Linked DNA regions of Arabidopsis thaliana. The protein of the gene in region 1 interacts with the protein of each later gene in a biochemical or structural test. Each region holds a gene or a part of one and is shown in the gene's direction. Other genes may lie near its edges.

Region 1 (11,424 bases):
TTTGGGTCATTGTTCATTTATACCCATTCCTCAAGGGAATGCTTGGGAAGCAAGACAAAATGCCTACGATTATTGTGGTCTGGTCTATTCTTCTAGCTTCGATCTTGACACTCTTGTGGGTCAGAGTTAACCCGTTTGTGGCTAAAGGGGGACCAGTGTTGGAGATCTGTGGTCTGAATTGTGGAAACTAAGATCCTCAGTGAAAGAAGAGCAAAGGAGTTTGTGTTGGAGCTTTGGAAGCAAATGTGTTGATGATGATGCAAGTGTGTTTGTAGACGAAGATGTGCAGTTTTTACTTTTTACGACTTGTTAAACCTTTTTTGTTACCCCTAAATTAATTCTTTTGTTATCATGGTTATACTAATAGAATTGTTTGTTTTTCTTTTTTACATGTACTTTTAGTTATTCCGTAGTTATTGTATAATACTGATAACGATCATATATACACACTTTGTTAATAATGGATTTTAGTGTTGTTTTACACCTTCTTTGTAAATTAAAACTTGTGTTAAACGATCATTTATATTTAAATCCGTCTGTTGCGGTGTGTGTGTGTTACGGATATAACTGTTTCAAAATTGTGATGTGATGTAGATAAAACTTTTTGTTTTGAATGTTAAATTAAAATGACCGATTTGTAAATTTGTTCGAAATTTCTTTTGTTCATATTCGATCACAGATCATCACACATGAAAAAATATGATTGGAAAGAACTGTTTCAATAGTAATTTAGTAATCTTAGAATGATTTTACTTAACCTGATCGAACGGCTGCGAAGCCACCGCATGTCCCACAGCGGATGATGATGCGATTGAGATGAGAACACGTGGAATGCGGCAAAAGGGCCCCAAGACGTGTTTATTCCTTATCGATACCGGAATGGCTTTGCATGGACCCCACCAAATCGTATAATTGAAGTCAAACGCATCTCTCTCTCTTCAAAAAAAAATGGAAATTTTGTAAACCACTAAACCCCACCATATAAGTAACAGACAAAGTCGCAGGAGTCGTTGGATCAACCAAAACAAAGATTCTGAAACTTGGTCAATAGTTTTGACGGTTCCGGATCGTAATTAAAATATACTCGGTTCCATTGAATCAGGCATGGTTTATTAACTTTCCATATTATCTTCCTTTTGCAAAACCGACATTGTAGTTTCCTTTTTTCATTATTTCCATTTTCTTTTAAAGGGTTTTCCTTTTTGCTTCTGTTATATAAAAGACGACAAAACGAAACGATACAACAAAAAACAACAACAATACACGTAAACGTGATCAAAGTGGTCAAAAAGGAGACAAGATAAATTCGATCGACAATCAGATATTCGAAAATGATCAATCAAATGGAGAAGATTTGTTTTTCTGAAGACTCGGGGGTTACGTTTTCGGAGACGGAGATTGAGGCGGCGGAGCAGCTAGTGCAGTTGAGCGAAGAGGATACGTTGAGCTGTAGCAGCGGCACTGGCTGTAGCGTTTCGACCGGTTACGACGGGTGTGACGGGAAAGGATCAGAAGGCAATAATACGAACATACAAGATGATGTTGTTAGTTCAAAGGTTAGAGATCATATGGCCGAAGAGGCGCAAAACGACGGCGTGTGGAGGATCAAGAATGTTACGAACGGACAGAGTTTTCTGAAGGCGATGATGGAGACGAGGACAGGCATACATAAGAAGAAGAAGTTTCGGTCTCTTGAGAGCATCTACAGAGCGACGAACGAGATGACGAGAGATTAATTAGTCTTAAGGGGATCATGGCTAAATAACGTTTAATGACGTTTGTTAGAAGCGTGTGTAATTATACTATATGTCATCGTTTTCTATGGTTTTGTAAGTAATGTACTAGTATCTATTAGCGTTGAACCGGGAGAAGGTGCTAGAAGAATTGACGCTTTGCAATAATTTTAACACACATTCTTATTTAAACATTAATGCCCCTGTTATAAATTAAGGTAGACGTAAATGCATTTTGAAATTACATCGATAGTTATAGATACTATAGTGTTCACCCTTTTTTTCCCAACAATTGTGTTCAATGTTGATACTATAGTATAGATGCCAACTTTTTTCCTTTCCATATAATAACCAAAATTCAGGACCATGATAAATTTTGGACAGTTTGCGAAGAGGCAGATATTTTCTTAAAGAAATATTTTTAAAGCGGTTACATGATTAAAATCGCAAGCTCAAAGCTTTGAGTTTGATCTTATATATAATGTCAACTGGTGAAGTTTAATTAACTCGCATGCATACAATCTTACAATCATGTATGGATTCTCACATATCATACTGTTCAAACTTCAGTTTAATAATCTTGTTATACGTACATAATATCATGTTTAACTCGCACGTACACAATAATCTTTGTATGGATTCTCACACCAATTATCTAGAAGGATAGTATAATTAATAACTAACAAAGAATAACAAGTCACATCTTCCTACTACAGAATATATCCTAACGTTCATCAACTATTATCATAGTTAGTTACCTCATTAAAAATTATATCACTATCACATATTTACATATAACCTTTTTTTTACATATAACTATTTATTTATTTCATGTAGCATCTTACTTTCATAATTTCACAACTAAAATCACTCTAAAAGATTATAAATTAATAATAGGGTTTTGTGCAAAAAAAAATTAACTCATCAATTTATACAATTTTATCATCTATTTCTAACAAATGAAAAAATTAATCTTATGAAATCTAAAATAATATGCAATATGATCTTTATTGTGTTTGTTATAGTTAACTTGAGTTGTGTTAATAAAGAAAATGCTCTCAAAGTAAGTATTTATCTCAGCGCTTTGTTATAAGCCCGTTTTGATACCCAAAGAATACACCAAATATTATGGGCCGAACTAAAAAGCAATCAAGCCCATTATTTACTGTTAACATCTCGATTGTTCTACTGACGCACCGAACCAAAAAAAACAAAATAGATCTCCACCGTTGATCGTGTCAGGGAGGACGAAACCCTAATCATCGGACGCCTCTTCTCTCTCACTATATAAAGACCGCATCCTCTACTTCTTCATAATAGGAGCCTCTGTAATTTTGTAGTAGTCTGTCCGATTCTTCTCAACGATTTTTGTATTCATCGAGTCAATTGTTCCTGTGTTTTCATTGATTAGATCTTGTGAATATAGTCTTTATAGCTTTGGTTAGAGTTTTCTTATTGGTTAATGATGATAAATCCAAAGGCTTGTTTTTCAAACATTCGCAGTGGCCGCCTAAGAGCTTTCGCCTTTCGCCAGGCTTGAGAGTTAATGCTGTTTTATCCTTCCTTGGATGTCTGAAACTTTTGTATCTAAACCTGTATTGTTTTGTTTTCTATTAGGGTTTTAGATTTGGGACTAAGTTATTCAATGTCCCATTAGCAGAATTGATTTCTCTTAGTGCTTAATAGGATTGAACAAAGTCCCTCAAATCTTGATCCATCTGTCACTTTGTCAGCAGTCTTAATTGGTTTCTTGCTGATCATTATATGATGGGAAATAACATATAATCTCGATTTTGATTAATTGGTAGAATTGCTTAATATTGGTCGATGAGGATAAGATGAAGGCTTGTTTCTCAAAACATTCGCAGTGGCCGCCTAAGGCTTTCGCCTTTCGCCGGGCTTGAGAGCTTATGATGTTTTTATCCTTCCTTGGATGTCTGAGACCAATTATGTTTTAGTTAGATGATTGTTGCTGTTAGTTTTCGGTTGATGAGGATTATATTAAGGCTTGTTTCTCAAAACATTCGCAGTGGCCGCCTAAAGCTTTCGCCTTTCGCCAGGCTTGAGAGCTAATGCAGCTTTATCCTTCCTTGGATGTCTGAAACCGATGAATGTTTTAATTCTCGTTTTTATGTTTTTGTCTGTAAGAAAGATCAATGATGATAAACTTAAGGCTTGTTTCTCAAAACATTCGCAGTGGCCGCCTAAAGCTTTCGCCTTTCGCCGGGCTTGAGAGTTAATGCAGCTTTTATCCTTCCTTGGATGTCTGAGATCTTTATTCACTCTATCGATTATCTTGTCTGTTTAGGTTATTCCTTCTAGTAGATTATTATCGTCTATTTTTTGTGTTGAATTTGCAGGTAATTTCTTGGTGGTAGCTTCTTCGCTTTACTGGCTTTTGGAGAAAGAGTTCCTTACGTTTCCTGTAATTTCCTTTAATCTGTAAAAATCATTGTCAGATTTATTTACAATCTGTAAAGAGTTCTTTGTTGTAAACAATTTTGTTCATTGGTGATGAAATTTTGTTCTCATTATGAATTTTATTTGTGATGAAATACCGTGATTCCTTTATTTATCAACTTTGAAAGCTTATTACTGAAAACTTTGTTTGAGCTTCAAAGAATCAATGATCTCTGAAAGCTGTAATCCACATTCAACAAATAACACTCTTATATACAAAAAAAAAATACTCGAAATTTAGAAATTCTATGTTTACAAGTTACAATAGTTAGGAAATTGTAATTTCAAATCAAATAAGCTAAAAAGATGTTATTATTAAAATGTTCAGACGAATTAAACCGGACCTAATTTGCTTGGTCTTTTGGCCGCTGACCTTGTCTGATTGATCGGGATTTTTGTACGGCGAATCAAAATCCACCGAACAAACCGGAAGGCTAGGATGCTCAAGCTTTACGGATTGACTTAGAGAGAGATCGATTTGAACTGTGTCATTTTGAGCATGGTTTCTAGAAGAGGCTCCGAGACAAAAGCGATTGTCTGTGTCCTCACGGATAGAATTAGGATCTCTAATCAATGGGTTTCGCATTTGTCTTTCGCTGGTCTACTTGGTGTTGCTGGTTTCGTATTTGCCCAACAGCACGGTCTATTCCGCAACTTAAACAACTTAAAACTCTTCTCCGGTAGAGAAAAAGACTCCGGAGACGATTCTTTTCTCGTACCTGGCCTTCAAAATCTCGGAAATAACTGCTTCCTCAACGTCATCCTCCAGGTAATACTTTGAATTAATTCTTCTTTGAGCTTGCTTTTGATCTTTTTGTTATAAATCTTTGGATTGTGGATTTGACTTTCAGGCTCTAGCGAGCTGCAAAGATTTTAGGAGTTTTCTTCAATGGGTTCTAGAGGATGCGAGAGGTTCGTTAGCAGGAGAACAAGAGGAACAGCTTCCTCTTACTTTTGCTTTGTCTGCTTTATTACAAGGTATAATTGTAGTATCTTGTGTTGAAAGTTGGTTTATGATAATGAGAGTAATCTTTTGTTACTTGTTACCATCAGAGCTCGGCACAGTTGGAAGTAGACGATCTGTATCTAACCCTCGTAAAGTTATGGTGACATTGACTGACTATGCCAAAAATTTCAATTTGACAAGCCAACAGGTTAAATTTATATTTCTTCTATAAGACCAAAAGTATACTTGAGTTGGTGGTCGTCTTCTATGAGCTAATGATCTTGTTGAAACATAGGATGCAGCAGAAGCCCTTCTTCATCTTATATCTTCTTTGCAAGAAGAGATTGTAGTTTGTTATCGCCCTAGCCAAAGTAGTAATCTTTCGGATATACTTTTCTCTCGCAACTTGAGAATGCTTGCGCCTAGTGAAGGCCTCCATGGTTTGATGGAGCTCAAGAGATGGCATAAACATTTGCGTGGACCATTTGATGGGATTCTTGGTAGTACTTTAATGTGCCGAACTTGTTCATCTCAGGTAAGGGATTAGATTTCTCAATCTCACCAGTAAAAAGTGGCTCTTGCTATAGTTAAATACTTTTTCCCCATGTGATATTTTTTGCTTTTTTCCAGATTTCTTTGGAGTTTCAGTTTTTTCATACTCTGCCTCTTTCTCCTTTACTCCATCACGGTGGTTACAACATTGTATGTTACGGAAGGTTCATTCTCTTGTTGCTATATTGTTTTGCTTTTGGCAATATGAAACTTCTCCAGAAATATAAGAATTCTCAATATATTTTTCCTTTTGGAATGCTCTTAGATGTCTGGATGCACTTTGGAGCATTGCTTGAAGAAGTTTCTTAACACTGAGAAAGTTGAAAACTACTTCTGCTATAGATGCTGGCATGGTGCTGCACTGAAATATTTATCTGTGATAGGAGCAGCTGAGGTAGTTAATCTCTCTCAGCTTTTAATGTTATTGTACTTTTCCTTTGTACATGCTTCGCGACTCTATTTGACCCGTGTGTCCTGGAAACGGTTTCAATCAGACGGAAATCGAAAAGCTCAGGAGCTGTGGCGGAGAGGACCAATGTGACTGTAAAACTTCTCTTCATCTTCAAAGAATGCCTTGGTCAAATAGCTATTCCCATATATTGAAACAGTTAATCATCGCCCGTTTCCCAAAGGTATTTGCTTACTCATTGAAACTAGACGTGAAAGTAAAGTTGAATCCATTACAATATCAAAATCTCTTTTCTTTTGAGTCCCATTTTGACCCTGTCTAGCTAAATTGTTACAGCTCCTATGCATTCAAGTGCAACGCGCTTCGTTTAACATGTTTGAGGAATTCAAACTGTCGGTATGAGTCTTGTTATCTCTCTTTCCTGTCTACATTTCATGTCTCGAGTTCTATTCCTTCTAATCTCAGTTCATCTGTATAGGGACATATCGCATTTCCACTTGTCTTGAACCTCTCCTTGTTCACACCATCTTCAATAGGCGTAAACATAGAAGAAAGGATTGAGATGTCGTCAGAGTACCAAAAGCCAGAAGCATCAAAAAATCACGGCATGTACAGGCTTGTAACAGTAGTGGAGCATTTTGGTAGAACCGGAAGCGGGCATTATACTGTATACAGAAGTGTGAGAGTGTTCTCACAAGAGGAAGAAGAAGAAGATTGTGATGAGGATTTGAGCTGGTTTAGTATATCTGATTCAGAAGTTTGCAGAGTTTCAGAGAGTGATGTTCTTGGTGCTGAAGCTAGCTTGCTCTTCTATGAAAGGCTTTGATAAAAGAGAAATTAATTTAGAGCTTGGTTTTCATTGGATTGATCGAGTGTTCTAAGGTTTCTTTTCTGCACTTGGAGAAATTAGAAGATACGTGAGTGGAGTTGTTTTTGAATATATTTTCGCCTATAGCCAAACACTACTAAAATAACCTTGTAACCAAACACTCTTTTAGTTCCAGGATTGTGTTATAAGTAAATCCAAACAGTCCTTAAGCTTCCTCGATAAGTCGATATAATGTGGCGCGCTCATTAGAATCAGTTTCAATTATATCTCCGCCAAACCGATGTAAATTGATGGGTCTTTTTTTCTTTAAACCAAACCGAACCGAAATTTCTATCTATTATCCATCCTATCTACTTTTACTCCAATACAGTTGAGTTTGTTTGCCTCGATACTATAGGAAGAAACCCCCATCTAATCTCTTTCATATCCACACAATTAGAATCCGCTTATGTTGTTCTTTGGGTTTAAATTATCAAATGAGTTAAAAATATATACGATGGAAAGTGGAATAGCCTACAATAAAAGTTGGTAAAAGATGTTTTTACAAATACTCAACTGTGGATTGATGTTTTTAGAGGTATGTTATATACAAATGCTCTAACATATGATTGCAGAGCACACACATGCATGGAAAAAGGGTTGCTTCATGAAAGATTCAAAGGTTGGGAAGGGGCAGTAAACAGAGACAGAAGGTGAAGAAGATCAAAGAGCATATTTACACACTGATGATTTGTTCAGACCTGTACTTCACTGTAGTTACCTTCTGATGATTTGTCAAAATGATCTTCAGGTTCTAGACACATGCTTAGTATTTACCTTTCCTGTCAATAAAAACACGCAGAAAGTGTTTGTGTGACAATTAGTTGAATTTATTGTAAGATATAATGATATCAATAAAGGAGTTGTAAGAAAAGGATTCCAGATATTTTTTAGACTTTGTTATCTTTAGTAGTATTGATTAGTCGTACTTACCTGTGGAATGATTATTGTTCATGAGTTTCAATGCTTTTGAAGCTTTATTTTCTTTTCTAAAGGCTCCATTTCCTGCAAATCTTTTACTACAGCACCAAAGCTTACGCTGTCTCCATTAGCAAACTTTCGCGATGAAGATAAGCCGAAATCAAATGGTCCCCGTGATTCAGCCTGCGTTGTCAGATTCAAATCCAAATGGTAAAACATATCTCAACTTATTTGCCCAACTCGTGTATTTTGTTACAGCAAATATATAGTCTTAGAGAAATGTGAAGCAGAGACCACACAGTTAGAAGAACTCTCACTTACCCACTTGATTCCTGATAATCCGAGGCTGCTGTCTTGATTAAACACCGAGGAACCCAATAATGGTTTTGCGGGGTTCGATTCATCAATCTGTTTCTCCTTCTCAACTTCTCCACTTACCTGCCAAATTTTCATATCCCATAACCATGAGTTGCAAGTTCTAAACTTCTGACAATAGCAATATCGGAAATGTTTAGTGATAAAATAAAATAAACACGCAGCATAACTTGAGAAACATTTAACCTGATCGTGAACCTTTGGTGTTATTGTGGTACGCTTTCGAAATGAAAATGCATGGCACGTATCTTCTGCATCGAGTATAGACGAATGTGACGACTCAGGAAGAGGGGCATGGCAAGGAGCTCGACGGTTATCTGTTTGGTTCACGAGGAAAGCATCTAATGAATCAGAGATTAGAGGTAATGGTGGTTGTTTGATAGCTCTCCTTGTTTCCCATGTTTTGTTACAGTCACTAATCCTTCCTTCTCCTAGAATTGATGCTTCAGATAGTAAGCCTCCTATACTTCCAATAGACTGACCATTATGAGCTGGTTCTCGTTCATTGTTCATATGCCATCTGTCTTGTAAAGAAGCCTCAGAAAATAGACCTCCAATGCTTATGTTAGTAAGATTGTCTTCCCAGAGAGTTGCATTTGCATTCCCTGCGTTTGAATTTTTACAATGATTTCCAAAGTTTCCCTTCAATGATACTTCTGAAAGCAAGCCACCAATACTTAGGCTTGTTAATCCATCATCCCAAAAAAGCAATGTCGGGCCAGATCCATCGTTTATCTTATTCTCCTATATAAACAAAAGTAGTCATGATCTCAGGTATACTGTGATATAAGATTTGAATCCAAAACAAGAGAAAAAGAAAACATTATTTACTGAGCATACCGTTGACTCAACTTGTCCATCATGCGGTAAGTTTTCCAAGGGAGGTGTGTCAGTCACTTGATTTGGAGAGGACAGCATAGTCAATGGGTTCTCTGAACCTAACATCTGCGTTCCTGTACCTGGAGTTGAAGGAGATGGCGGTTCATTGGTTTTATTTTCAGTCGCAGAGGACCACCCATACCTAAACGAAGTAACAAGAATCGTCAAACGTGTCTACGCTTAGAAATTTGCTTCAAAAGGTGTATAGATACAAACCGTAAGCGGAAAATAAATGGAGCTCCAATAGCTTCATAGACATTGCCTGTAGTGATGTTGCTGTTTGCTACCCATTTATGACCAGAAGCAAGTACCGATGTATCATAAGGGTACAACGTGGGATCTCCACGAGCAATCTCTGAGCTGCCCCACTTACTGTGAATGCGTTGAAGCACTGAAGAAATCTTCTTCCGTGAGCTAAGAGTGAGCTCCAAGTATGGGTGAAAGCCGTCCTATGAAGTAACATAAAATAATAAATAGAACTCTTCACCAGAATATATATAAACTTAGTGCAAGTCTTGTGGTCAGATCTTCAGCTCTACCTTTTCCAATCCTTCACGGGTATGAGCATCCAAAGGAAAGAGCTGCAGCTTCATTTTTCCAGAACGTGGAACGTCCTTGCTCGAATGGATATCAAGGACAGGTACTTTTTGAGTTTGGTCTTCAGTATGTATCAGCCTTTGCTCTTGAGAAGATGAAGGCTGAGCTGAACATTTATACTTCTCCTCTTTTCCACTATTATGTTTTCCTGATATATGAAAAATCCAATTACAATGCCAAAAGATCGTAGTTTAAGACTATGAGCTAAGATATTATAACATAAATTATGATATTCAACTAGATTACCAACAACTAATCTTGTGGTAAACGCCTTTGATCAAAGTGAAAATTATTTAGAAGATTTAACAAACTATTACCAGATTGATGGATATTCTTAGTAGTTGTTTTCATAGACTTCTTGGCTCTGGTGAATTTTCCTTTCGCTTTGATCTCCTTTGAGGACTCAGTTGCAGTTTCAGTCTTCTTTCTAGCCATTCTGAAAAAGAAAAACAAAAATTCGGTATCAAAACTCAAGAGTCAAAATATTCTTTTCTCCATACTATTTCACAGAGATTTATAGCAAAACCTCCAAACACAGATTCAAACCCTAGAAATCCAAGTGTCTCACATATCTAGATTCATCCGCAACCGAACGAAACTTAAAAACAAGCCCAATTAATCTACAAATAAACTCATACTTGTTAATCAAACACAATTACAGTCGCAGAAATATAAAACAAAATTTCAATATCCAGATCTAAACCCAGAAACTCAAGCGCTTTTCCAATCTCGACTTAATCAAAACCGAATGAAACTTAGAGAGACTAATTAGATTCGGATTTGACATAAATAAACACAGCTATAGTCCAATTATTAAGTTGTTCGGAAGATTTTACGAAAATTCAAAAAACAAATCTCAGACTCATGCTGATCGGAACCCTAGAAATCGAGCCAAACTTCCAAACCTAGATGATTCATCCGAACGAAAAAAACAAAATCCATAGCATGAAAAATCAATCAGTCATGAATAAATTCAAATTGAGACCAGAAATCACTCTTAGATATACAACCTAGAGCAGAAATTCTCCAATCAAGCAACAGATAAACGATCGGTGGAGAAAAGTCAAGAGATAAGCAAAGAAATCGCAAAATTCAAAGTCTCTGAGAGAGATTGTAAACGGTTAAATATCACTGATCTAGTCTAGGACGCGAGGGGAAAAGCTTACTAAACGAGAGCAGACGGAGCAAGCAGAGGAAGATCTTCGAAAAGAGAACGACGACGAATCAGAGAGAAAAATCGCCCAGAGAGCAGAGAGGAGTGAAATAACCAGGCGGGAATTTTTTCGATGAAAATTTGTTGGAAATAAAATTCTCCCTCCATTGGCTTTTCCATATACCGTGTCGTTTTTGCGAAAGATTATTTTAAGGGTAAATTCGACATTTAGTAGAGATTGGCAGTTGGTTTGTTTTTGGGCCTACAAATGTTGGGCTGTTATTTTATCCTAGTCCACTAGCTTTCTTAGCGCATTGTGGGATGTGTAGTGGGCCAGAATACACAAATCAGGTCTGATCTAGTCACGTTAAAGCTAAGTTAGATATCAAAATCGGAAACAAATATAACCAATCTTGTTAGTACATAACCAAAATCGGGTTAGTCCATAACAACATTTCTAAATGATTGATAAGACCATGATATATGGCCTAGTGGTTAAAAAATATATAAGCTGCTTCATACTTTGACGTA
Region 2 (10,448 bases), about 17 Mb from region 1:
GCGAGATTATCCCAGAAAACATCGCGTGGTTCGGGAGCCCATTCCGTCAACCAGATTGTGGGATTGTGGCATTGCTGTGTTTGAGCACAAACAGCTGTTCCCCACCGTGATCTGAAGGAAACAAATGCTGCCGGCATGATAGCCTTAGGATCGTTCATGATCTTTTCTCTTTCTACAGCTTCCTGTGTATGTAAAGAATTACGAATGCACTTATAATTAAGATGAAAATGGTATGAAGATTACTTCTACAGGTGAGTACATACTTGCTCAGCCAGAATATCCATCTTTGAAGTGTAGAAGTCAATTGCATCAACTGTAGTTCCCCAAAAACCTCCATAACCTGTCTATATAATAAATTAAATAACTACCGACGAGAATTGAATTCATGATAAGCATGAAATTCAAAGAGTCATTTTGCTGAAACATTACACGAGAGCTATATGGTCAAAGGTTAAAATAGTCTTGCAACAGAAGTACCTTTGTTGTTGGTCTACTTGATGGCTTCCTCTCGAATTTATTCTCGTAGTACGTCAACCAATTTTGCATAGCTTTTCTCTGTGCGACTAATTTTGCAAGGTCATTTGCATTGTACACTACCTGGGAACATCAAATAAGAAAACGCATGACATACTCAAGTGAAGAAACTAAATAATTCTGAATACCACTCTATTAGTGGTTTTCGAGATATTGTTGATGAATTTACTTTCAGCCAGCTAAAGAAACGTACCTGATGGCAAAGATAATGATCTGGATGATTTACACAAAAGAAGTGCTCAACATGCTCGTTTACTGATTCATCAGGATCTGGAGGAACATTTCTTACAAGTACCTGCAAAAGCGAAGATGGCAATACTTCAAAGAACAAACATGAGTAGCAAGAATCAGGTCACCGATTCAAATTTCAGAAACTACTAAAAAAGTGATATATCTATCTTGTATGGGGTATGTAAAATGCTGTTATGATCACTAATAACCATTTTCCTTAAAGCATACATACATAGAGGCATCACTCCCAAATATATTATGTTTGCAAGATCTTTGTTCAAGGAAAAGAGAAGTAAGTTTCTACATATCGGTAAAGATAAACACAACAGATAGAATAACTCACAGTGAGTTGATCAGGACGACGACTTTCTGCTGCTAGATGTCTCAATCTCATATTAGCCACAGCCTTATATTCCATATATAATATGTAGCAAGTCCAGAATGTAATCACGTATGTCATAGTTATATGTGCCCAAAACCTGGAACCAAGAAACTTCCAGCCGTCTTAGTTGATAAAATAGAAAGCTGCACAATACCATCACACACTTTGTAAAAAAGAAACCCTTTTTATTGACAGAGTCTGTAACTTGCAGATAACAACAGTCCACCAAACTTAGCAAGGTGCTAACATATACCCTGAACTGAGAGAAAGCAGTAGTGAATAATACCTCGGCGATCCTGGTGGAACATTTGATATTGACAGCTTATCGACGTTACTGAATGTCAAGTCATCGATATTTTCTAGAGTTTCTCCAGTCCAATTGACAGGAACCAAAACTCCAAAAGCAAGTAGTGTTATCGGAACGAACATTTTCAATCTGAAAAACCAACAGAACAACCTAAGAAACAAGCTTGTGCCTCATGAGAATGAATTCAAGATCAGAAGAAGATACATACCCAAGAAGGTAAATGCGGATATATACAGCAGAGTCAAGGCCTGCATGTTCTATAAGCTCAGGTTCAGGCATTTGAAGAGCAGCAGGCATCCAATTAAGAAACTTGACATAAGTAGTCCAATCTAAATTAACAAATCTAGTCATGATTCCTCTAGAACGCGTTGGACTTCCTCTTATCCCTTTGAGATACCATTTTGGGAAGTAAACTCTATCGTTAACTGGCTGAAGTCTAAGCATAGCAAATGCAAACAAGAAAGCAAATGCAGATAATAGATTTATAGCTGCTGATAGACCAATATCTTGTACTGAAGCCATCTTCTTCTCTTTAACAACGCAATTTCAACCAAAAATGTTCAACAAATCCTGTTAAAGAGATCACCAAAAAGTACAAAATTTTATTCAAAAGAAGATGAAATCTCAGGTTTTTTCAGTGTCTGAGTTACCAGAGATTGGAGGAGGCGATTTGTTTTTTTGTTTTTTCTCTGACAGTTTCCCGAGAAAATCGAATTGGCGATTGACTGTGAGAAACTGAAATTCCGGGAAAAGAGGAGAAGACGAGAGAAAATGGCGCCATTGACGTTGTTCTTCTTCTCCAACGACATTTCATCTTCTTCCTCCGATTCTCCGATTTTTTCTGCTTCTCGTTCGAATTTTGTTTTTGATTTTCTGTAATTAAAATTTTGGAGAACATATCTCACGTGCCTTACTCGTGTGAGTGAATGTTGCGAAAATGCAAATGAATCCTGAATTAAAAAGTTAGTACATATACACTAATATCTAAGTTGGTAACATTGTAACATTGAAAAGAATATATGTATATACAATTTAGATTGATTTAATTAGTAAATAAATTTGAGGCTTTTTAACTTGGTTGAAATGAATACATCTATTAAATTTAACCGCTTTTGATTTACCATTTATAAATTAAAGTCCGTAGTAGTACTGACCAAAAAAAATAAAAGAAAATTACTACGAACCAATAATTGACCACTTTTACATTAAAAATTTGATTTGTTCTCAAAAATAGAACGGAGTAAACCGTTGACGGATTGTCCACCCGCCGACTCGTAATTATTCGAATCTTCGAAATCGAAAATAAAATAATTATATAGCAAATACAACTATTAAAAAAGTGTAGGTATAGAAAATAATTACTGGAAATATTATATTGATGATATCAGTTTCAGGACTTTATTTATGTTGGATTTGAATTGCAATTTAGGAGGTGTTATTGGTTTGTGATGCCTTTTAAAACTTTAGAATTATATACTATCAATTTGTGTTAAGATTTATTTTGAAAAATACTTTATAGATTTTCAAAAAACAATTCTCATGGATTTAAAGAAAAAATGCATTAGAAATATATATTTACTAGATATTAACCCACAGTATACCGCGGGCCAATATTTTTATTAAATAAAAAATAATTGAATATTTTTTAGGATGATTTAATAAATTTATGCTATTGTTTGATTTAAATGTATAATTCACCGCGTGACGAAATTTTATAACTCAAATTTTAAAGTTTAAAGTTGTATTTGTTTATTTTGTTAAATGTTTAATATTGTATAATTGTATTTTGATTGTTGTTTATCAGATTTCACCCGTAGTACACCATCCCATATTAATATCGAATCAAACCCGTCAATTCTAAGATTTCACCCGTGATAGTATTTAATTGTATAATTGTATTTTAATTGTCATTCTAGGATTTCACTCCTAATTCTATCGCAAATTATTATCAACCCAAACCAGTCAATTCTAAAATATCACTCGTAGTACACCATCCCATATTAATATCGAATCAAGCCCGTCAATTCTAGGATTTCACCCGTGGTAGTATTTAATTGTATAATTATATTTTAATTGTCATTTTAGGATTTCACTCCTAATTCTATCGCAAATTATTATCAACCCAAACCAATCAATTCTAAAATATCACCCGCAGTACACCATCCCATATTAATATCGATTCAAACTCGTCAATTCTAGGATTTCACTCGTGGTAATATTTAATTGTATAACTATATTTTGATTGTCATTCTAGGATTTAACTCCTAGTTCTATCGCAAATTCTTATCAACCCAAACAGTCAATTCTAAAATTTCACCCGTAGTATAAAGTTTAAATATTTATAATGTTTAAATTTCTTATAAAAGAATCAAAATGTGTTTTAAAAAAATTAAAGTTTTAAGTTTTTTTTTTATAATATTGTTAATTTTTTTTAGTGTTTAAGATTATATAATTATATTATGATTGTTATTATATGTTTTTTCTATAGCATACTATCCCATGTTATTATCCACTCAAACCCGTCACACCATATAACCCCGTCCCGTGAAATTAAACACAAATTTGTCATTTTATTATAAATTTCAAATATTTATAAAATTAGAAACTTCAAAAAAAGATTAATATTGACCCAAACTTCATCATTTAATTTTGAGTGTTATATCTAAGATTTCTCTCGCAGTATATCGTCCCGTATTAATATCTTTTATATTGTTTAAATTTCTTGTAAAATTTAATTTATAATTTTTTAAACTTTTTAAAGTTTCAATTTTTTAAAATAAATAACCCTAGTAAACAAACCATTTAAATTTTGGACACCTCATAAATCAAGTTTCATGCTCATTCGTAATCGAAATCATTTTGGTCCTTTTTATAGTATGGCTCTTGACCATTGTCCAATTTTTTTAAGCGATGTTGGACATTGTAAAATCGTAATTATTATCCACCCAAACCCGTCCTACCATATAACCTAGTCCCGTGAAATTAAACATAATTTTGTCATTTTCTTATAAATTTCAATATTATAAAATTTGAAACTTCAAAAAATACAATATCGACCCAAAATTCATCATTGAATTTTGACTGTTATATTTAAGATTTTTCCTATAATATATCGTCTCGTATTAATATATTTTTTATATATTTATAATATTTAAATTTCTTGTAAAATTTAATTTATAATTTTTAAAACGTTATAAGTTTTAAAATTATAAATATTTAAAGCATTTTTTAAAGATAAACTTTATAAAAAAAATTTAAATTATAATATTTAACTTTTGATAAAAGTTATAATATTTATAATTTCTTGAAACATTTTAAAGTTTCAATTCTTTAAAATAAAAAATCCGAGTAAAATCGGATAACTATTTTAATTTTGGACGCCTGATAAATCAAGCTTCCTGCTCATTCGTAATTAGAATCATTTTGGTCCTTTTATAATATGGGTCTGAACCATTGTGCAATTTTTTTAAGCGATGTGGGACATTGTACACATATTATTTCTTTATAGGTTGAATAATATATGTCCATTTTAAAAAATTTGAATTACATCATATTCAGAAGAAATTATAATATTTTATTAACTATATATATTTTATATAAAGTCAAAATAAATAAAGTATAAGATCAAATAAAAATGAAAGAAGAATTATATATTTATGTTTAAATTAGGTAAAAATATTTTAGGAAATTAGTTAAGGTAAATAAGAAATATGGTTAGTTTAGAGATATTGTTTATATTAAATTTGGTAATTAAATCCTTAATTTTCGTTTTTAATTATTAGTTTTTAGGTAACTTTTCCAAAAATTAATGTTATCCAAGATCAGAACAGAATTAAACATGTTATCCAGGATCCGAACAGAGTTAAACCGGGTAAAACCCACCCATTTGAATTAATTGTTGAATTATGGCTCAAATTTTCAATATTATCTTCAAAAACCTCCTACAAAAATGTATATATAGATTTATTTATTGTTAAGATTTTTTAAATAAATCATGGATTTTGCATTAATGATTTAAAAAAATTCTCATTTTTTTTTATACTCAACAATTTGTTCCAAAAACAATAAAACAGAGATATCCTCAAATCATGTTCACATTTAAAGTGAATTAAACAATTGTATTAATGCTTCTATTCTGGCCAAAACAACGAAAGCATTATATTTCAAAATCTCAAATTTATAATCTGCTGATCTTTAATTAAAACCTTATTAAGTGCCATGGGTAACGGTTCAATATGATCCTATCGGATCAAACCGGGTTACATATATTATTGAACCCGGTTTTATTGGTACGATCGTTAAGTCTCAACATCTGGCTCTAATAACCGGGACGATAGAGATTGTGGTTAGAAATAAACGGCGTTAAAATTGGTTGCAGCCGCGGGCACACGGATCGTGTTTATCAAATAAGGCAATTAGCCAAAAAATCGTTTCGTGTAAAAGTTACGTGTCAAGCTTTGGTTGGTTATTGCTTCACCGCCTTAGCTTTCTCGTGACCGACTCGTCCTCGTCTTTTTTTCTTCTTCTATAAATTAATAACCTAAGACCTATTCTTCTTCACAAATTCAGATTCCAAATTTCTCAAACTCTGAAATCGTTCTTTCAAATCTCTCAATCGGGATCAAGGTAAATTTCTGGGTTCTTATTCAGTTTCTTCGATTATTTTCCATTCGATCGCAATTTCGTCCCTGTTCTTTGAGTTTGATTCGGTTAATCTTTGATCGGAGATAAATATCTGAGTTTCATCGCTAGATCTCATCTATATTCTGAACTAGGGTTCGTAGATTTCACAGATTTGTATATTTAGGCGTCGATTCTTTGAATTTGATCCGATATGTGATTTATATTCAGATCTGGTGGTAGCTTTTTTAATCGGATTTGAGATTATCCAAGCGATTAATCTCAGTTTTTTGTGAATTACAGATGCAGATCTTTGTTAAGACTCTCACCGGAAAGACTATCACCCTCGAGGTGGAAAGCTCTGACACCATCGACAACGTTAAGGCCAAGATCCAGGATAAGGAAGGCATTCCTCCGGATCAGCAGAGGCTTATTTTCGCCGGAAAACAGCTAGAGGATGGCCGTACGTTGGCTGATTACAATATCCAGAAGGAATCCACCCTCCACTTGGTTCTCAGGCTCCGTGGTGGTATGCAGATTTTCGTCAAGACCTTAACGGGAAAGACGATTACTCTTGAGGTGGAGAGTTCTGACACCATCGACAACGTCAAGGCCAAGATCCAAGACAAGGAGGGTATTCCTCCGGACCAGCAGAGGTTGATCTTCGCTGGAAAGCAGTTGGAGGATGGCAGAACTCTTGCTGACTACAACATCCAGAAGGAGTCCACACTTCATCTTGTTCTCAGGCTCCGTGGTGGTATGCAGATCTTTGTCAAGACGTTGACTGGAAAGACTATCACTTTGGAGGTGGAGAGCTCTGACACTATCGACAATGTCAAAGCCAAGATCCAGGACAAAGAGGGTATCCCACCGGACCAGCAGAGATTGATCTTCGCCGGAAAACAACTTGAAGATGGTAGAACTTTGGCTGACTACAACATTCAGAAGGAGTCTACACTTCACTTGGTGTTGCGTCTCCGTGGAGGTATGCAGATTTTCGTGAAGACTCTCACTGGAAAGACCATTACTCTTGAAGTTGAGAGCTCCGACACCATTGACAACGTGAAGGCTAAGATCCAGGACAAGGAAGGTATCCCTCCGGACCAGCAGCGTCTCATCTTCGCTGGAAAACAGCTTGAGGATGGTCGTACTTTGGCCGACTACAACATCCAGAAGGAGTCTACCCTTCACTTGGTGCTAAGGCTCCGTGGTGGTTTCTAAAAACTTATCTCTGTTATGAATCAGAAGAAGTTCATGTCTCGTTTCATTTAAAACTTTGGTGGTTTGTGTTTTGGGGCCTTGTAAAGCCCCTGATGAATAATTGTTCAACTATGTTTCCGTTCCTGTGTTATACCTTTCTTTCTAATGAGTAATGACATCAAACTTCTTCTGTATTGGAATTATGTCCTTGTGAGTCTCTTTATCATCGTTTCGTCTTTACATTATATGTGCTACTTTTGTCTAATGAGCCTGAAAAGTGGCTCCAATGGTACGCACTGGAAGATTTGTTGGCTTCTGGTAGATATAGCGACAGTGTTGAGCTTGTAATATCATGTCTCTTATTGCTAAATTAGTTCCTTTCTTAACAGAAACCTTCAAAGTTTTTGTTTTTGTTTTCATTTACCTAATGTACACATACGCTGGCCATGACTAACAACATGTCCAGGCTTAGAGCATATTTTTTTCTAGCTTAAATTGTTAACTTGTCATTCAGTAAAATCCGAGAATTGTGAAGCTCTAATTGAAGCTAATTCGTTTTATAAAGTCAGTTAAAAAGTATACTAAATTATCCAACTTTTCTTCAAAATCTCAAAATTCTATGACAAAACGATAGTCTTTGTTTATGTCAGTACCACAAAGAGGTGGAAAAAAACACCAAAAAAACAATAAGCAAACTATACACTGAGAAGAAAAATAAAAGAGAGCTCAATAGATGTTTTATACTAACGGTAGATTAGATCAAAGATCCAAGCTTTACTCTACATAGAGCAGAACCCAGAATCCCTTCATATCTCTTTTATTCTAGCACCGATAATCTACTGAAAAGAAGACACTTAGAGCTCTGTCTCTTTGTCAAAGAAGTCCCAGCCGTCATCCAGAAGCTCCTTACGTTCATTAACAGAAGCTTTTGGGCTCTTGTTATTGCTCGAGGCTTCAGGTGTTTCATAAGATGCTTCCAAAGGCTTCTCCGTCAATAAGCTCTTCATGGATGAGGCGGAAGAAGCCAGTTTACAGCTAGTCTGGCTTGAGGAGATTGATTGGCTCAATGGCACTCGGTTGTCGAATTTCTCTTTCAAGTGTCGGATGTCTTGACAGATCACAGAGATTTCTCCTCTGTTCAAGGAAGTACCAAAAGGGTAAAAGAATAGTTAAGATCAATAGCAGACAAGATTCACCATAAGATTCTGAACATTTAAACAACAAATATATCAACAGATTCCTGATTATCATACAACTGCGAAGAAAATTGCTAAATTGGTTCGTGGGTCCGATCATTTACTCCATAGTTCACAGCCTCTTATCCTAATGATTCACGAGGAGATAAATTTGAATTGCTAGTAGCAAGGAAGAAGACTTACTGTAAGGAATCAACAATTCGACCATGATCCATAAGGAACTCTCGCAGCTGAAGAAAGAGATCAAGATAAGTTAAGAAGTTGTGAAATCAGATTCAGAACCATTCATTCATGACAATCTCAAGGTAGTGTTGTTACCTTGGAGTTTTCCTCTGCCTCCTGCTGTAGAAGCTTGGATTCTTGGACAACTCTCTCCATGATCGCTTCTTGTTCAGCAAATGCCTTGCGTGCAGACCCTTCTTTTTCCTGTTTTTCTTGCTCAGCAGCATTTTTTATCCCCAAAGCTGTCGCTAGTCTTATTTCAAGATCTACACGCATCTAAAAGTAAAAACAAAAGAAACACAATCAGCAAAATCTTACAGTGTGAAAAAACAGATATTAGTAGCGTGTATTGTTAACGATTAATGGAGTTGCAAATGAACAAAACAGAAATACTGAGTAAATCAAGTAGGATCTAATCGTGTGGCCTGCACGGACCTCATCAAGAACAGAGAGAGAGTTGTCTCGTTCTTCTGATAAGCTGATCAAGCGATTTTCAAGCTCATTAACTTCAGTGGTCAAAATTGACCTCTCCCCATAAACTTCTCCAGCAGCCTGTAACATACAAATGATTAGTTCCCCAATTAAAACCTAAGCACAGTTAACACACGTATCAGTAAAATATTAGTAACAAAAAGTCACCATGTCATTTGCCTCCTTCGCATGTTCCAGCATCTTCTTCAGCTCCTCCACCTTGTCAAGAGTATCAAAGCCTCCTATACTAGCATCTTCCTTTGCCTTTTCTGCCTCCTTCTCTTGAAGTTCAACTTCTCTCATCAGATTCATAATCGACTCCATCACAGTGAACAAGGTTCTCTACATCATCACAAAATATAAAGAAGAAAATGATACTGAGATATCGATAAAGAAACCCTCCTATCGAACACATAACCCCAAAATTAATTATTTCCTGGAAATGAAAGAATGTCCAAAATATACACTGGCATACCTTGTTACTTTTGGCATCTTCAATGATCTGTTCAAGGTGGACCATGTTGCATCCCTGGGTTGATCTGTTACCAACAGAGCTAACAGCACCATCCAGCTCTGGATCACCATTTTCATCGGCCAAAGAGCCCTTTGATATCTCATCCACAAGATTTGAACCACTCAACTCGGCATCACTATTTTCAACAGCCAACGAACCACTTGATGTCTCGTTCACAACATCGATACTCCCAAATCTAATTTGAAGAGGATGTGAGTTCTGTGTAATTGCCAAATTGTCTGCAGGATAAACCAGCTTATGCACAGCATCTTCTGAATCTGCGCTTGTGCTAGCTTCTGCTTGATTACCTGTACTGTGAAACTCAACACCTTGCCAATCATCGCCAGTCGATTTGGCTCCTGCCTGACAGGAGACAGGGGGTTCTGAGGAAACCACTCCAGACTCATCCGATCCGCTCAACCCGATCTTACCTTTTCTCTGAATATCAACAACAACATTTGGCATAACATGTGTCAACTGATTCCTCTTAGAAACCGATTCAGTAACTGGGGCCCTTGTTTCATGATATTCAAAAGCCATAGAGGCAGATCCTGAATATGAACCACCCATCTCTGAACCAGACAACACACTGAATGGCATATCACGTTCTACTGCATTTTCAACTGGCATTTCATCAGAACATACCCTCAAACTTCAAATGTACAAAAAAAATGTCCTAGTAGCAGAACAGAAAAATATAATATTATCATTGCAAAGAATAAGTACCTTCGGTAGGCACATTTCCGGGTGTCTTGTTCTCAGGTTGAGTAG

What was found.
Region 2: of the proteins of UBP27 (region 1) and UBQ14, one has a biochemical effect on the other in vitro, tested with the Arabidopsis thaliana proteins (one study listed by BioGRID).

Annotation. Positions count from the first base shown.
Region 1 is NC_003075.7:18,301,700-18,313,123, forward strand, and holds UBP27 (ubiquitin-specific protease 27), read left to right. Parts: upstream 1-4,435; 5' UTR 4,436-4,692; coding exon 4,693-4,962; intron 4,963-5,044; coding exon 5,045-5,171; intron 5,172-5,246; coding exon 5,247-5,347; intron 5,348-5,434; coding exon 5,435-5,674; intron 5,675-5,769; coding exon 5,770-5,841; coding exon of another isoform or gene 5,842-5,855; intron 5,856-5,956; coding exon 5,957-6,085; exon of another isoform or gene 6,086-6,185; coding exon 6,186-6,356; intron 6,357-6,436; coding exon 6,437-6,496; intron 6,497-6,578; coding exon 6,579-6,926; 3' UTR 6,927-7,056; downstream 7,057-11,424. Other genes in the region: CESA2 (cellulose synthase A2), read left to right, coding at 1-191; AT4G39360 (uncharacterized protein), read left to right, coding at 1,332-1,736; AT4G39380 (TSL-kinase interacting-like protein), read right to left, coding at 7,929-8,072, 8,211-8,375, 8,451-9,008, 9,105-9,285, 9,360-9,592, 9,683-9,888, 10,058-10,175. UniProt on the Arabidopsis thaliana protein: Recognizes and hydrolyzes the peptide bond at the C-terminal Gly of ubiquitin. Involved in the processing of poly-ubiquitin precursors as well as that of ubiquitinated proteins.
Region 2 is NC_003075.7:1,275,594-1,286,041, reverse strand, and holds UBQ14 (Ubiquitin family protein), read left to right. Parts: upstream 1-5,875; 5' UTR 5,876-6,080; exon of another isoform or gene 6,081-6,377; coding exon 6,378-7,295; 3' UTR 7,296-7,512; downstream 7,513-10,448. Other genes in the region: AT4G02900 (ERD (early-responsive to dehydration stress) family protein), read right to left, coding at 1-182, 264-344, 478-597, 728-829, 1,109-1,244, 1,434-1,583, 1,663-1,976; AT4G02880 (ELKS/Rab6-interacting/CAST family protein), read right to left, coding at 8,129-8,408, 8,654-8,700, 8,789-8,968, 9,128-9,244, 9,332-9,505, 9,639-10,300, 10,404-10,448. UniProt on the Arabidopsis thaliana protein: Ubiquitin exists either covalently attached to another protein, or free (unanchored).